Rhinolophus ferrumequinum: one gene and its partner. The protein of the gene in region 1 purifies or fractionates together with the protein of each later gene. This does not show direct contact. Links are inferred from orthologs where the notes say so. Each region holds a gene or a part of one and is shown on either strand. Other genes may lie near its edges.

Region 1 (7,273 bases):
TGCTGCCTAAAATATAAACAAACAAAAATCACACCTTACCTGTATATTGAAAAATGAAACCCAAGAGCTTAGGAGACTATAAAGACACAGTAAGTATCTGGGGGGTAATGGGGAGGGCCAGTGAGGCACATGTGGGAACACCAGGGGAGCCTATGCGCCATGCAGACTTCCCTGCTTCCCAAGTGCACGGACAATTCACCTTCCTTCCCTGGTCCCAACGGTCCAAACAAGCGAGAGAGAAAGGTATAGATTGCTAATTGCATACCCTTCCCCTCCCTGAGATTTTTGTATCCCAAAAGGGATATGAAAATGGAGTAAGATGAGAAAGGCTGATTTTCTGACACACACAATGACATCCTATGCACCTACCTAAGAAGTACTTACTACTGTAGCTATTTCAGTGGCTTTTCTTTTCTCCTCTACACACACAAGATTTTTGCAGCAGGGACCATTCCTAACTCTACTATCTAATCAGCAAATAACATGAAATCTGATCTCCACATTCCAAGTGAAGAGGTTGAAAATGGACCATAATCAGACTGATTCTCACGATAAACTCATTATTTTTAGCCTTGATAAAAATGACCAAATCTTAGCCTCTACCCGAGAAGTAGCTTCATACTCATTTCGCACTTGCCTCTGGGCACCTTAAATTACAAGTGGACACATTACTCTGCATTTCAAAAACAGAGTGAGAAACTTAACGGAACCTTGTGTTTCTCATGGATTGTAACCTCCTGAAGGGATCCCACCAAGCCAGCAGCACCATCCGAAGACCGGAACTCAGAGGCTGGCTGCAGCTGGCGAAGCTGAAGGTTCAGAGCGTTAGGGTGGTGCCTGCAGTGGTCTCGACCGAAAGGAGCAAATTCCTGCAAGTCCCCGGCTGCAATCATTGTTGCCCTGTCTTCATACAAGTTCGACATGGGTTCCAAATATCAACATTATTTCTGTATGAATTGAAACACATTCTGGTCAGATGTTAGAGTCAAACAAAATAAAAAATATCATGAAAGTTTACTAGTCCTTAATTTTTAGGTAAGTGTCACATAATTCTATCACACTGTAGATGTACAAGTGATCATTGTGTCAATGGACATTCCAGATCTGACTTTTTCAGGTAATTGCAGTTATCATTTTACAGTTACACTGTCATTCCATAATTAACATTACAGTTCCTTTTTTGTTGCAAACAGATCAACAGTTACCACTGTAGGAAACTATTGGGATGAGACTAGCACTTACATCCCACAATACCTATCCTATGTTTCCTACCACTATACACTAATTTTTCTATAATTCACATTGAGGTATTTAGACAAGTTGTACTTCATAGTCCGATGACTTCCCAGCTCTCGACATTTAACATCATTTCTGTTCAGATGCTGGAATCTCATTTGAAAAGCATATAAAGGATCACTGGCATATTGAAATGAAACAAACAAGCAAACAGAACTCACGTATTTCTTCTAATTCATCAAAAGTTAAACCACTGCTTTAATAAGCTATCACATGTCATCAGTAATTCTGACACCCCGATCCAACTAAACATATAACCATAATCAATTCCAATTTTTGGTCGAACCTAAGGAAGCTCTGTCCATGAAACAGTCATGCTTGCTTGCAAATTTAAGAGTTCTATCTTCTAGTTAACATAATCTAGTACAGTTCACTTTATCACTACTAGGGTGTGGATGAGCTGTGGGTGGAAACCAGCCCCTCTACTTTCAAAACATTTCTACAAACAGGAAGTGGCAGCCAGTCAAATTCTGACACTGTACAATGTGATGTAGGAGGTGGATGTTAGTTTTGTCTGCGAGACAACACCTATGTGAAAAACGGGTTTTGTGGCATCACATTTAAGCTGCAATCCTCAAACACAGAAATCAAAACAAACACTAATGTCAGCACAAATGAGTATTTGAAATGCATTCACACTAAAAAGAGTTGAATTTAACTTAGTTTCTCCCCTGGGGTCTTTCAGGCTCTTTGCTGCAATATGTCAAGGCCCCTGGAGTCCCCATGCGGCTCTGCAAGCGTTGCATTTATTTTGCTGTTAATTAAACTTTCTTCCTCAGACAACTGTACATGACAATCATGACACTTTTCTCCTCCTGCTAAAAGTCAGTACTGAGAACACTTATACTTGGAATATGACTGAGACAGTGCCTCGGAAGACTTACAAGAAAACAATAAAATTCAGCTGGTCTTCTTATTATATTCTAGTCAACAGGATGACCAACATCTTAAAATTTTGAGTGAAAATTACAAAATTATTAATCATAGAACTATTTTTACAGTACAGTATCTTGTGCTGATTAAGGCAACATGTTTAATACTTTCACTGTACCTCAAACCTGTATGTGTTTACTTATGGGGGCAACGTAAGGAGCCACACGTATAAAAGCACTATATTAAACTGACGTGCTAAGAATCAAGACATCATCAGTGCTCACTAGAAACCAAGCTACCCTCCCAGAAGCGACCGCGAAGCTGGTTCAAGAAGACACCGAAAGGCCCTGCGAAGGCACCCCGAGTTGAGTCTCCGCAAAAAGGCAGAGCTTCCTCCGCCTCTTCAGGTCTTCAGGGGTCAGTGAAAACAACACGCTGAGAACCTGGGCCTCAGAAAGCCCCGTCGCAGGGGAAGGGGCCCATCTGGGAGCTGAGGCCGCACGCGGACCCCGCGTGCAGCCCGGGGAGGCGCGCCGGAGAGCCCAGCCCGCAAGCTGGGCTGCCCCCGGGCGCTGGGTCCTCCCTTCCGGTCCCGCACCGTCGGCCTCGGGACAGGTGCGGGGGTCAGGGGACACGCGCTGACCTGTCGCCGCCGGCCGGGCCCTTACCTGAGTAACTCAGGACGCGTCAGGCGCGGCGAGCCCCGGCTGCTCCCCGAGGGCAGCGGCAGAGTCGGTCACCGGGACTCCTCGGCTGCTGCAGCTTCTCATTCCCCCCTCCTTCCCTACTCTGGAGGAAGAGTGAGCAGCACCTGAGGAAAGGCGGGCGTGAGGCGAGAAGCTCTGGAGAGTTCAAATGGAGGCGGCCATCTTGGCTTCCCGTCGTGCTTCGCGCCGGGCCAAGCAGGAGCAGGACCTAGCGGGGCGGGGCCTCAGGGGCGGAGCCTCACCAGGAGGCGCGAAGCTGCGGTCCTTTGTGCAGTGAGTATCAGGAAGGATGCTGGGGCCTACCTGCCAGGGTACCTCCTTCTTAGGGCAGCGGCCCAGCCTGGAAGCAGGACTATTGTGACAAGACCCTCCTGGCGTTCACATCTTCTCCAGTCGTGTCAGTACGAGTCTGAACTGCCTCCTAACTCTGAACTAGGGGACTTTCCTGCTAGTTATACTGACTCCCCAATGGGAGGTACCTGCCTCTCCAAGCTTGGAGAAGAGAAGACCTGCTGATTTTCTCTCTTTAACCATGAGGGGCCTGAACCCTTTGAAAAGTCTATGAAAGATATGGATGCCTTCACGAAAACGTTGCCTGCGATTTCTGAGCTTCCCAGACACCCCTGCCCCCCTTACTGCCCCCCCATCCCCATGATTCCTAGACCTGGGTTAAGAAGCCCAGCTCTACCCAGCCCTCCCTGTCTGGATTTAACTGCACAATATCACACTTAAGGAAACTAGAAAATTTCCTTGAGTTCTAATCTTCTTTTGCGCAGTATCTCTGGGTTAAAAGTATTGATAGGCATCCTGTTGCCTAAGGAATAAAGTTCAAATTCTTTATCCAGAAATGTAAAATTGGCTGAAACTTCTTGTCTGCACTAAAGTGGTCTCTTGGAAGTCCCCAAACACACCTTGCACTCTGAGGCCTTGGTGTGTGTGTTCATTCTTGTCCCTTCATTAGCAACGTCAACCTTCAGAGGTTAGCTCATAGGCCTCTTCTCAGAAGGCTTCCCTCCCAGAGGAAGGAGCCTGCTGAGGAATGAATGCTGTGTCCCCCGAGATTCTTATGTTGAAACCTAAAGCCCTGTAAGATGGTGCTTGGAGGTGGAACACTCAGGAGGCGCTTAGGTCCTGAGGGTTGAGCCCTCATGAATGGGCTTAGGGCTCTTATAAAGAAAAGGACTCCCTGGAGCGCTTCCACCAAGTGGGGACACAGCAAAAGAGACAGCCGTCAATGAGCCAGAAAGTGAGCCCTCGCCAGATGCTGAATCTGCCAGGGCCATGGTCTTGGTTCCTCTCTCCTCCCACCAGCTGCCTGGTGGGGTAGAAATACACTTTTCACCTGTTTGTTGGAATCGTAGAGGAAAACATTTATGCTGTCCTTACATTTTGCTAATTTTGACTGTTTACCTCCCTAGGTATCCTGTGATACAGTCAGCTGAACTGTCTTTGCAGACCTTCTCCAAGCCTTATGCATCATCACATTTGGTAGACTGGTTTGTACAAAAAATGGTGTGTGATTAAGGTATTGGATACATTTCTCTGCAACGTGTCCTCTCACAGAGCACAGCGAACCGTGTGGTAGGTGGGCCAGGTCAGGAGCTGTGGCCTTATTCATCTCCTTAATAGTCCATAAAGGAGGTCATTTTTCTCAGCGAATCAGCCTTTTACTGCTGTTGGACCTTGACATGGTTCAATTCTGCTGCCATTTCCACAGTGCTGTCAGGAACCTCTTCCCTGTGTCCCAACAGACTGTGTTAGTGTGCGAGGGCCGCCATAACATGAGCACAGATGGGGTGGATGGCCCCCGATACAGATCAGAGCCAGGGGGAAGGCAAGAATGCCAAAGGGTTTCCACTGCAGGACTGGGAAGCTCCTGAATGCCGATCCTGCAATACTTGTATATGTGATGCAGCCGAGGGGGGACAACTCCACATTTCTGGGCACCCAGTGGCCCAGCGTTAACTGACAGTCACTCCGAAGAGATGCACATTTGTAGCAAGGGTGGCATATCACTGAAATCTGGCTTTTCTACATTCTTCAGCTCTGAAATCTGCTTGGTTCTTTTTTTCACGTTTTTTATGTTTTCTGTCTGTTTGTTGAACTCGATTTGTTCTTGTACTGTTTTCCTTCTGTTGTCAGATTGTTTACCTGTGTTCTCTGAGCTGCTGTAGAGTGATTATTCCGACACCTTCTTCACTGTACCAAGGCAGTTGAGTTTCATTTTGTGTGCTGTGCCTTTTGGTCCATGTCAAAACCAATCCAGCAAACAAGCTGTTAGAGGACTTTGTACCCCCTTGAGATATGACATTGAAGACCATGTCTGCATAATGGGCCCCAAGCAGTATGTTGCACCTAATCCAACTGCATGTTCCTTCCACTGTCATCCCAAACCCTTAACATCTCATTTCTCCACAGTTTTCCTAGATTTCTGTCTGTGTGAACTGGGGAAAGGGTGCAGCTCGTTTGGAGTGTAGCTGAAGTCCTCGTGGGTCACAGTCTATACCGCACTCTTGGAACCTGCTGGAAGCTGAGTCTGCTAACAAGTCTGGAAGCAAAAAGGGCTGTGGGCGCAGGTCCTGAGCAGGGTAATAGAGCCTTGCAAGGCAAGTACCTCGGGGGTGATCCTTGTGGATTTAGGAGAAGCAGAGGCAAGCTCCTCAGGCAGGAGTGGGAGGGCTTCTTCTGCACAAAGAAGCCTGCACAGTCTTGGAGTTCAATGTCCCCGCTTAATCAGGAACCACCCATGTGTCCCCATTCCAACTTTTAGGACCCTATTTCTTCTAAATCATCGCTATCACTTTCACTGCCATGTGGACAGACATTCAATTTTGGTTGTAATTCACCCACTTGCAGGATGAGACTGAGTTAGGTTTTCAAACATCTCAGCGCTAAAGTTATATTAGTGCTCAAGAGTTTCAGGGAAGATATAGAAATTTCTCGGCATTTGAGGGGCGCTTGCGTTGGAAATTGAACACCTTGAGCTCACCTTTTTCTTATTCAATCAAGTGCAAGTAGGAGCAATCACCTAATTTTGCCACATTTGTTAGTTTGTAAAACATGATCTAAAATATCAAATTCATAGTCACCTAGAACCTTTTTAAAAATACATATTTGATTAGGAATATCCATCCAGTGGTGATCCTTTGTATATCTCTATTACCACCTTGTACTATGGACTGTCAATGCCTTCTTCAACACTGGCAATACGGTCATTTGTGCCTTTATATTTAATCAGATTCGAGAACCAATTCCAGAAGATCCAGGATTGCTTGAGAAAACACATCTTTTAGGTTCTATTCCTCTAGAACCATCCTGTTTACCAAAACCTGTATCCATCAGACTTCTCCAGAGAGAAAGAACATGTATATTTCTAGCATGAAGATACGTGTGTGTTTATACATATATGTATGTATGCACATGTACATACACAGAGAAACGCATATAAAGAGATTTATTTCATGAAATGATTCTTGTCCTTATGGGGCTCGGCAAGCCTAAAGTCTGTAGGGTAGACCAGCAGACTAAAAGCTCAGCAAGATTTTGTACTGTGATATGAGGCATAATTTCTTCTTCATCAAGAAACCTCAATTTTTCCTCTTAAGGATTTCAGCTGAGTACAGACCCACCCCCATTTTCAAGAGTAACAACCTCCAAAGTCAATTGATTGCAGATGTGTTTGGTCAGATAACTGGGTACTATAGCCCAGTCAAACTGACACATAACACTAACCATCAGACGTTGCAAGAGCTCTTTATCTGTATAAGTACTAGACCTTTCACGGATCTCTGCTTTGCTAATATTTCCTCCCATTGCATGGGTTGTCCTTTCCCACCTGATAGTGCCCTCGGAGACACGATTTGGGCATATTTATGAATTCCCACTTACCTTGTGTCTGTCATTGCGTGTGCTCTAGAGGTGGTACCTAAGAATCTATCGCCAAGTCCACGATCGTTTGTGATATGTACTCCTTTGTTTTCTTAAAATTTTATAGTTTTACCTCTAAAATGTAGGTTGTTCTCCCAAAGGTGGCGCTAAAGCTCAAGTTTGCGGTCTCTCCCTGGCCGGGAGACAACGGCCAGCTTTCCCCGGGAGCTCGGAGCCCTCGGCCTGAGCTCGATCTTGCCGCGGCGGGTGGAGGGCACAGAGGGCGCTGGCCGCGGGGTGGAGGGGGTGGGCGAGGCAGGCGGAACACTAGCGGTGCCGCGCACCCACCGGGGGTCCCCGGGCAAGGCAGCTAATAGGATCCGCATCCCTTTCGTGTCCTCCCAGAGTCCTACGTGCAGCAATCCCTGCCTCTTCCCGCCTCCCTCATGCCTTTCACAAGTCAGTCCTCTGGATGGGCCAAGAGAGAAGCCAGCCCCTGGGGTGCAGTCCCGAGCGGCTGGGGAAGCCAA
Region 2 (7,744 bases), on another chromosome or scaffold:
CCAGGAATAATTGATAAATCTATTAAAATGTGTTTGCTTTTTTAGATCAATTTCATCAGGTGAATTTTATAAACATCCAAATTAGCACTGATTGAACTCATTTATGTGAGTTTCTTTCCCAAAGTTATATTACAAATAATTAACAGAATTCTGTCTCATAATAGGAGAGGTTTTTGTAAAGATTTGAGGGGAACCAAAGTTTTGCCAACCCAAAATATGCCTTCTGGCATAATGATTTTAAGCTGGTTATTAAGAAACAAAAGACTCAGAACCTTTGACTCTCCCCCCTTACCTGTCTAAAGGAATTCAGATAGAAAAAGAAGGGGAGCATCACCTTCTTTTAGCCTCAATATAAACTAAATGTGGAAGAAAGTGAGAAGCCTAGCAAAGCCTGTTTGTTGAGCTTCCTTCTGTGACCCATTGTTTCTGGGTAGCCCAGCAAGAATTTGTTTACCACATGTTTGCTCTTTCTTGTCTACCTGTGAATTGCCTACTTTCCTTTGAAATCCCAGACCCCTGCTCCACTTCACCTTTGTCTAAAATGGCACATAAACCTCAATTGTCCAATGTGTCTTCATGTCTCATTTTTATGACACCCCGTCATGCACATCTGTAATAAAATTTGGACATTTTCTCCTGTTAACCTGTCTCATGTTAATCTGATAATTAGCCCAGCTAGAAGAAAACAGAAGGTGGGGCAAAAGTTGGTTTTTTTGCGCCCCCACAGACAAATAACACTTTTACTACGAGAAATAATATGGAGGAGCTTATATTTAGGCTTACATGGTATATCACACTGAGTACCCCACATTAAAATTTTAAAGAAAAAAAAAGCAGAAAACAGTTGCTCACCTTTTCTCTCAACTTTTTCCTATGCCCAGTAATACCTTGAGTTATGCCAAGAAAGGAAACAACTTTCCATCTTACTCTCATTCCTATACATATGCATACAATCACTCGCCAGTTAACAAAAAAAATAGTACCTTATTTATCTGTCCTATTTTTATTTTCCTCCTAATTCTTTCCATTTTCAGCACTATTCCTGATTAAAGTTGATCTTTATCACTGTAGCCAAAGTTGCTTGTTCCTCCCACTGCTCCAGATCCCTTCCTGAATGGTATCTTACTTGTATACTATAAGTCACAACCAAAATTCTCACCTAGCCATATCCGAAAGCTTCTTACCACCATCCCTGAATCTAATGGGCCAAAGGTAGTGTGAAAAAAAACCCCAAAAAAAACAAATTTGACTTTTAAGCCTTAAAAATACCTAAGTGTATTACTGCCAAGAGTAGTTTAAGGGAAAAAAAAAAGGAAACCTGAGGAATACTGTGTAGGAATAGCTTATATATTTCTTTTCTTCTCCACATTTTTATACAAGTTGAAATTATTATTAAATAGTAGTTATAAGCTAGCAATACAACTAGCTTATCATTTTAGAAGCCTTTTGGGGTAAGAGAAGGCAAATGTATCCATTATTAAGGCAAAATTACAAGAATATGAGACAAATTAAACAACTGAGTGATCTACTTATCCATTTAAGGTACAGATAGCAACTTCTAATTTCATGTTAGGCCTCAAAAAAAAAAACAATCTTAAAAGGGACTCTTTACTAGTAAGAGGAATCTGGATGTTAAGAAATAGCTTTGGAAGCACTAGTACAACTTACAAACAGGTGAATTTCCTAAACTAGAATCCTATATTATATTAATTCAACCAATAATAGCTGCTATATGTAAAGGGCTAGAGAAGAAGCCAACTAGAAGAAATTGGTATTTCATCTGGTGAAGAAGAATTAAGGTAATACGAAGGGGTAATGTATTAAAATATTTACTATTTGCTATCACAGGCCTATTAAGGGTAATATGAATTAACTTCTAAACTCGATTTGCTTTATAACTTCAAAATAAAGAAAGTCCATGACTCAATGACAGTAGTTGATAGAGGTCAACTTTTTAAATCAAGTCAAAGATCAAATGGTGGATCGAAAGTCTCCCAGACCAGACCTGGTCCATCACCAAGGGACAAAAGATTCAGTTCCTTCAGATGGCAGGGGGGAAATGACTTGGCACTGCATCGCACACTTCAAATCCAATCGGGCTTCTTCCATGCCAACAGAGCAGCGTGCGTCAAAGCATACCTTGGTGTGGTAAGGGCAGTGAGACAGACGGAAAAACCATTCTTGGTCTTTCATTTCCTGGACGCCTTATAAACGTGAACTGAAACATTCTTGATCCCCATCAGAGGCCAAGGAAAAAACCCCCGATTTGCCGTTTCCACCCTCTCCCCTTGTATAGGTGCTTGCACCTCAGCACTAGGCCTTGGGAGTTCTCAGATTATTGTTCAGTGGGAAATTCACGGAACGAGAAAAGCAACGTGGGCTACTCAGTCTGTTACCAAAATAGAAATTAGTATAAAAAATACCGATCCCTCCAACCTCTCACAGAAAGACAAAAACCAAACCGAACCACCACCACCCCCCTCACCAACTTGCCCCACCATTATGAAGACCGCGCAAGCTCTGATCAAATGTGCTTCCCAATCATCCTTTAGGTAACAGAGCACCTGGGGCGAGTTTCCCCCGCCACCCTCCGCCCACCCTCATCTCTCACCCCAGCCAGGACCAGGCCCCTAGACTGACAGGAGGGCTAGCCGGACGTCGGCTCGGAAAGGAAGGTATTATCGCCGAATGCCGCTCACACTAGGGGCAGAAGTAACGTAGGCCCAGAGATAACACGGCTTAGGTTGTGGGCAAGGCCTCCGAACTGACGAGAAGACAGGCAGGACCGGGCATAAGGAGAGGCGGGAGAAGCAGCCGGGCCTAGGCCGCACCAGGCCGCGGAGTAGCCATACGCGGCTTCCCGACTGGGGCCGCGAGCCAAGCCTCAGAGAAGGGGGTTATCATTACCTGGACGGGTTCCTGCAGCACCGTCATCCTTGAGGCTCAAACCCACTTTCTGCAGTGCCTCAGGCCCCCCCCCGTAGCGGCTCCGGCCCGGCCAGCCCCGGCTCATTTAAACTCACCAGCGACCGTTACCGGGGGATGGGGGCGGCCGAGCGATTGCCGAGCACCTCCGAGCGGGACACGGAAATACCCGAAGTGAAGAGATCCGCGCGGGAGCCAGACGGAAAAGCCCGAAGGAGGCCGGAAAAACCCGAGGCGAACCGGCGGAGGAGGAGACCGTTGCCGGAAATTGTCGAGAATTGTCGGAGACTACCGAGTCTGACCCAGAGCATAGGTTCCTCTTCTCGGCCCCGCCTCTACTCACGCACGCCACGCCCAATCGTCCACCCTCGGTTGGGCCACGCCCAATCAGCACCCAGCGGGCTGGGCGTGTCGTGCTGGAGCTGGAGGGGATCGTTACGTGGCCCGGCTGCCGTCTTGATTCGCCGCTCAGCTTTCTGGATTAATTCGTGTGCGGTCGATTAAGCAAAGGGTAAAACTCGGGAGTTTGAGGCTGAGTTTAATTAATCATGAAGTATTTGCCTATTGAATGCAGGTCATTTATCCATTCCAGAAGTATCTCTTCATAGCTTAGAGGGAAATAGGAAATTTCCATCCTTCAAAGTTTTAGTATGGCCCCTGTCCTCAAAGAGATTACAGTCTATTTAAGGGAAAAGTGCTGCTACCTTGTGTGGGGCCCATTAGAAATGATGTAAAAATTCAGAGAAGAGGGAAATTAATTGGGATTAAGATGAGGAACTTTTCACAGAAGGAAAACGGGATAAATTGGGATTTGAAGAACGGTTAGAATGAGAAGGGGAAAAAAAGGAAAGTGAAGGAAAGCAGAAATGAGATCAGTCTGTTAAGAGTGAAGGCATTAACTGGAAATATTACGTGACCAGATCATGGACAATCTCAAAAGACAGGCAGAAATTTTTATTCTTGATTGCAGAGGCATTCTGGTGTATTGGAAAGAGTGTGGGATTGGAAAGGCAGAGGCTTGCTTTTGAATTTAATCTCTGGCGCTACTACGTATTTTTAGGACCTTAGGCAAGTTATAAACTCTCTGAACTTCATGTTCTTAGTCTGAAAAAAATAAGATGAATATATTAATGTATGTGGCTGTCTAATGCAGTAGGCTCTCTCAAGTTACTTTTATGCCCCTTCCCCCAAAAAATACGTGAACCAGAGAACTAGTAAAACTTTGTTTTTCAGGAGATGAGAAATATCATTTTTGAAGGTTAATTTCCCCCCTTCTTCCACCTCCCCGCCCCCACTCAGGTTCAAGCCCTTGTTTCTCAGTCTAGTTGGGTAGGACACAGCTCCCTGGCCCAGGCTGGTGTTATGAGCCTGGTGCTTCCCCCGGCTAAGGCAGTCGGTTGCCAGTCGTCAGTCGGCAGCTCACAGCAGCTCTTGCCGGCCGCCGGCCACTCACAATGGCTATAGGCCACTTACGCTGGCCACGGGCCGCGCCTGGCAGCACACGGTAGCCCACGGCCGCACAGCAGCCTGCGGGAGCCTGCCCGCTGCAGCCCCGGCAGCCCACACCAACCTCCAGCTGCTCACGGCTACCCAGCTCCAGGGAGAGCCTTTGTTCACAATCTTAGCTGTAGAGGGCACAGCTCACTGGCCCCCGTGGGAATCGAACTGGCGACCTCAGCGTTAGCATGGCACTCCAACCATCTGAGCCACCAGAAGGTTAATTTTCTAGTTAGAACATTTCTAGGTTACATGTGGTACTCATAGTATATTCCACTGTATGGAAATTTCCCTTTCTGGTTCTTATTTTATACAGATGAAATCAGATTAGAATGGGTCACTCTCTTCCTTTGTGTGACTGTTTTTTTTAAACACTAGTCGACAAAGCAACTGGCATGTCCACCAGCCATCTGTAATCACTGCTTATGTACTTGTAGCCCCATAAAGGGTAGGTGCTAAGGTGATTTTCTGTGATCTGTTCTTTTAACAGGGTTATGCTGGGTGAATTTGAATGGCAATAGTCTTCTACACTGTCCAGTACGGTAGCTACTCGCTATTTTAAAGTTTAGTTAAATTCAAGTGAAATTAAAAATGAAGTTCTTTAGATGCCCTGGCCACATTCCAAGGACTTAATAGACACGTGGCTGACCTCCATACTGGATAGCACAGGTAAAGAATATTACCATCATTGGTCTGACTGGGGCTGAAAGATGCAAGGACTCACATGTTTGAGGACTTGGTCTTAGCTGCTGACTGAGCTCCTCAGTTCTCCACAGCTCTCTTTCAACCTTGGCTTCTCATCAGTCAGTAGTTTAGCTCTAGCTTCTTGACTTGGTGGTTGGCAACCAAGAGGATGAAAGCAGAAGCTGTTGGGCCCCTTAAGACCTAGGCCGGTAAGACCTGGGCCCCTTAAGACCTAGGTCCAAACCCCGTCACTTCTTGTTGGTGAAAGACACAGGGCCAGCCTGCATTCAACTAGAGGAGAAATAGACTCCACTTCTTCATGGGAGAATTTATGGCAAAGTGAAATTCCAAAAGGCATGTGCGATGAGAGCATTTGATAATTAGTCCATCTTTGTACATCTACCAGGTACAAGATGAGAAAATCTGGTAGTGGAAATGGAAAGGGTAAGACATTATTCTTAAAATCTGATGCATTTAACTGACACAACTCTCCAGATTTATTCTAATTCAGAATGCAGTAAAACTACTTCTTTATTATCTGGACACTTCTATTAAAATAGACTCAAGTGGTATTTGCATTTCTTAGCAGTCACATGACACTTCACTCATGCTAAGCTTGTGTTCATTTTACAAACACAGCTCTTTTTCCATAGAATGTGCTGCCAACCCAAGTCTTACACTTGTGCAATGAATTCTTATAAACTTAAATGAAGGAACTTAAAATACAGGATCCATAAAGATGATATTGCTATGTGTGTGAATATGTGTATCTAGAGTTAGCATTTAAACAGTCTGTGATGTTTGGCACTCTGGCTCTTAAGCTTAGAATTTGCCTAAAGGTTTTTGCCCCCCCCCCAAAAAAAAGGGCATCTTTTTTTTGACTATTGTTCAGTGGGCTAACACATCTGTTGTAGTTTTCTATGTGCGCAGCAAGACCACATTGTTTGAAGTTGTTCTTTGATGCGATCTTTTAGAGGATTTTTACTTCTTTCTCTGTTCCTGATTGACCTACTTAAACTCACCATCCAGCAAGCACTTGGGCATCCTGCTGTCATCCATTATCCATATATGTTTCACTGGTGAGTGGAGTTGGTTACAATAAGCATTATCCCAAACATGGTAAATTATCTCTCCTCCTTAGCCTGCCTCTTGGTCTGTTTTGTGTTCCATCAGATTTTGAGGCCAGCATTTAGGAAACTATTCAAGAAGCTAGACATGGTATCTTTGGCAAGATGCAGGTACCACTGAAATATAGCCCAGAGTAAGCTTACCTCTGAATTCTGAATTCTGAATTCCTTCAGTCTTCCTTATCTGTCCCCTTCTTTTGTCCCTGTTGCATGCTGCCTTTTATCCTCCTTATATAACATGACCTTGAGGCTCTTTCCGCCCCCCACGTTGGCTCCTCTTGGTGAAATTATCCCTTTCCTTTGTCATCTCTGATCACACAGTCTCCTCATTTTCCTTCTACTGCTCTGTTCTTTATCCGTTTCCTTGGCAGCCGCTCTAACATTAGAATGCTTCTGTTCTAGGCCATCTCACCTTACACATTCTTCCTAGGCAAACCCATCCATTCTCATAATTTTCATCTAAAATTACTCCAAAATCTGTATCTCCAGCCAGACTGCTTCTTAGAACTCCAGACCCAAATGCCTAGTTGTCAACTGGGTGTCTCTATCCGAATATCTCACAGGTACATTGTCCTCAGGGAAACTCCTCATGCCACATAGAACTTGAAATATTTCCTATCCCTGTTTAAGGCATCACCCTCTTCTCCACTGTCCAAACCTGGACCACTCTCTTTCTTTAACCCTAGCATATACTATATTTCTCCAAAAATAAGACCTAACCGGACAATCAGCTCTAATGCGTCTTTTGGAGCAAAAGTTAATATAAGACCTGGTATTATATTATATTATATTATATTACATTACATTACATTACATTATATTATATTATATTATACTATATAAGACCCGGTCTTATATTATGGTAAAATAAGATCGGGTCTTATATTAATTTTTGTTCCAAAAGATGCATTAGAGCTGATTGTCTGGCTAGGTCTTATTGTCAGGGAAACACGGTAGTCACAAAGAGCTATTAACTTTACCTCCTAAATAGACCTTCATGTCTCTTCCTGCTTCCAGTTTTACCTACCTCCAAAAATAAGTCTGATCGTGTCAGAACTCCCCTCCCTAAACCTTACGCCATAACTCAGGATTTCCCATTGTTCTGAGGATGTAGTCCAAACCCTTTAACTTGTCTTGTAAGGCCCTCTAAGGTCTAGGCCTTGCCTCCTTATTCAGCTTTATCTCACCTGTCTCCCTCTTTTACTCTACATTCTAGTGAAGAGATTAGAACATTCCACTTTGGCATAAGGATTATTTTGAGCTGAAAGGAATTAAGAAACAGCAAACACAGAGAGAGCTCTTTTCCCTCCCCTAGTTGCTTAAAAGCAGGATATAAATTTCCCTTTATGAAGGTGTTTCTCTCCCCTCTTCTATACCAGCAGAAGGCAAACAACTGTTATCACTGGAGACAGATTTGCACTAAGTTGGGTCTGCACAAACAAACCTTATTAAAATAACCCTTATCTTTCATAAGTTTCTCTATATACTTACCTTTCAGCAATTTACCACCC

The links. The genes of interacting proteins can lie anywhere in the genome.
Region 2: the proteins of ANAPC1 (region 1) and CDC27 purify together in Homo sapiens (affinity purification with mass spectrometry; 16 studies listed by BioGRID and IntAct, with this or other methods). This does not show direct contact. The link is inferred for Rhinolophus ferrumequinum from reciprocal best matches to the Homo sapiens genes ANAPC1 and CDC27.

The regions. Positions count from the first base shown.
Region 1 is NW_022680356.1:579,431-586,703, reverse strand, and holds the start of ANAPC1 (anaphase-promoting complex subunit 1), read right to left. Parts: upstream 3,050-7,273; 5' UTR 2,838-3,049; intron 948-2,837; 5' UTR 924-947; coding exon 711-923; intron 1-710. UniProt on the Homo sapiens protein: Component of the anaphase promoting complex/cyclosome (APC/C), a cell cycle-regulated E3 ubiquitin ligase that controls progression through mitosis and the G1 phase of the cell cycle.
Region 2 is NC_046304.1:41,231,214-41,238,957, forward strand, and holds the start of CDC27 (cell division cycle protein 27 homolog), read right to left. Parts: upstream 3,074-7,744; 5' UTR 2,935-3,073; coding exon 2,908-2,934; intron 1-2,907. UniProt on the Homo sapiens protein: Component of the anaphase promoting complex/cyclosome (APC/C), a cell cycle-regulated E3 ubiquitin ligase that controls progression through mitosis and the G1 phase of the cell cycle.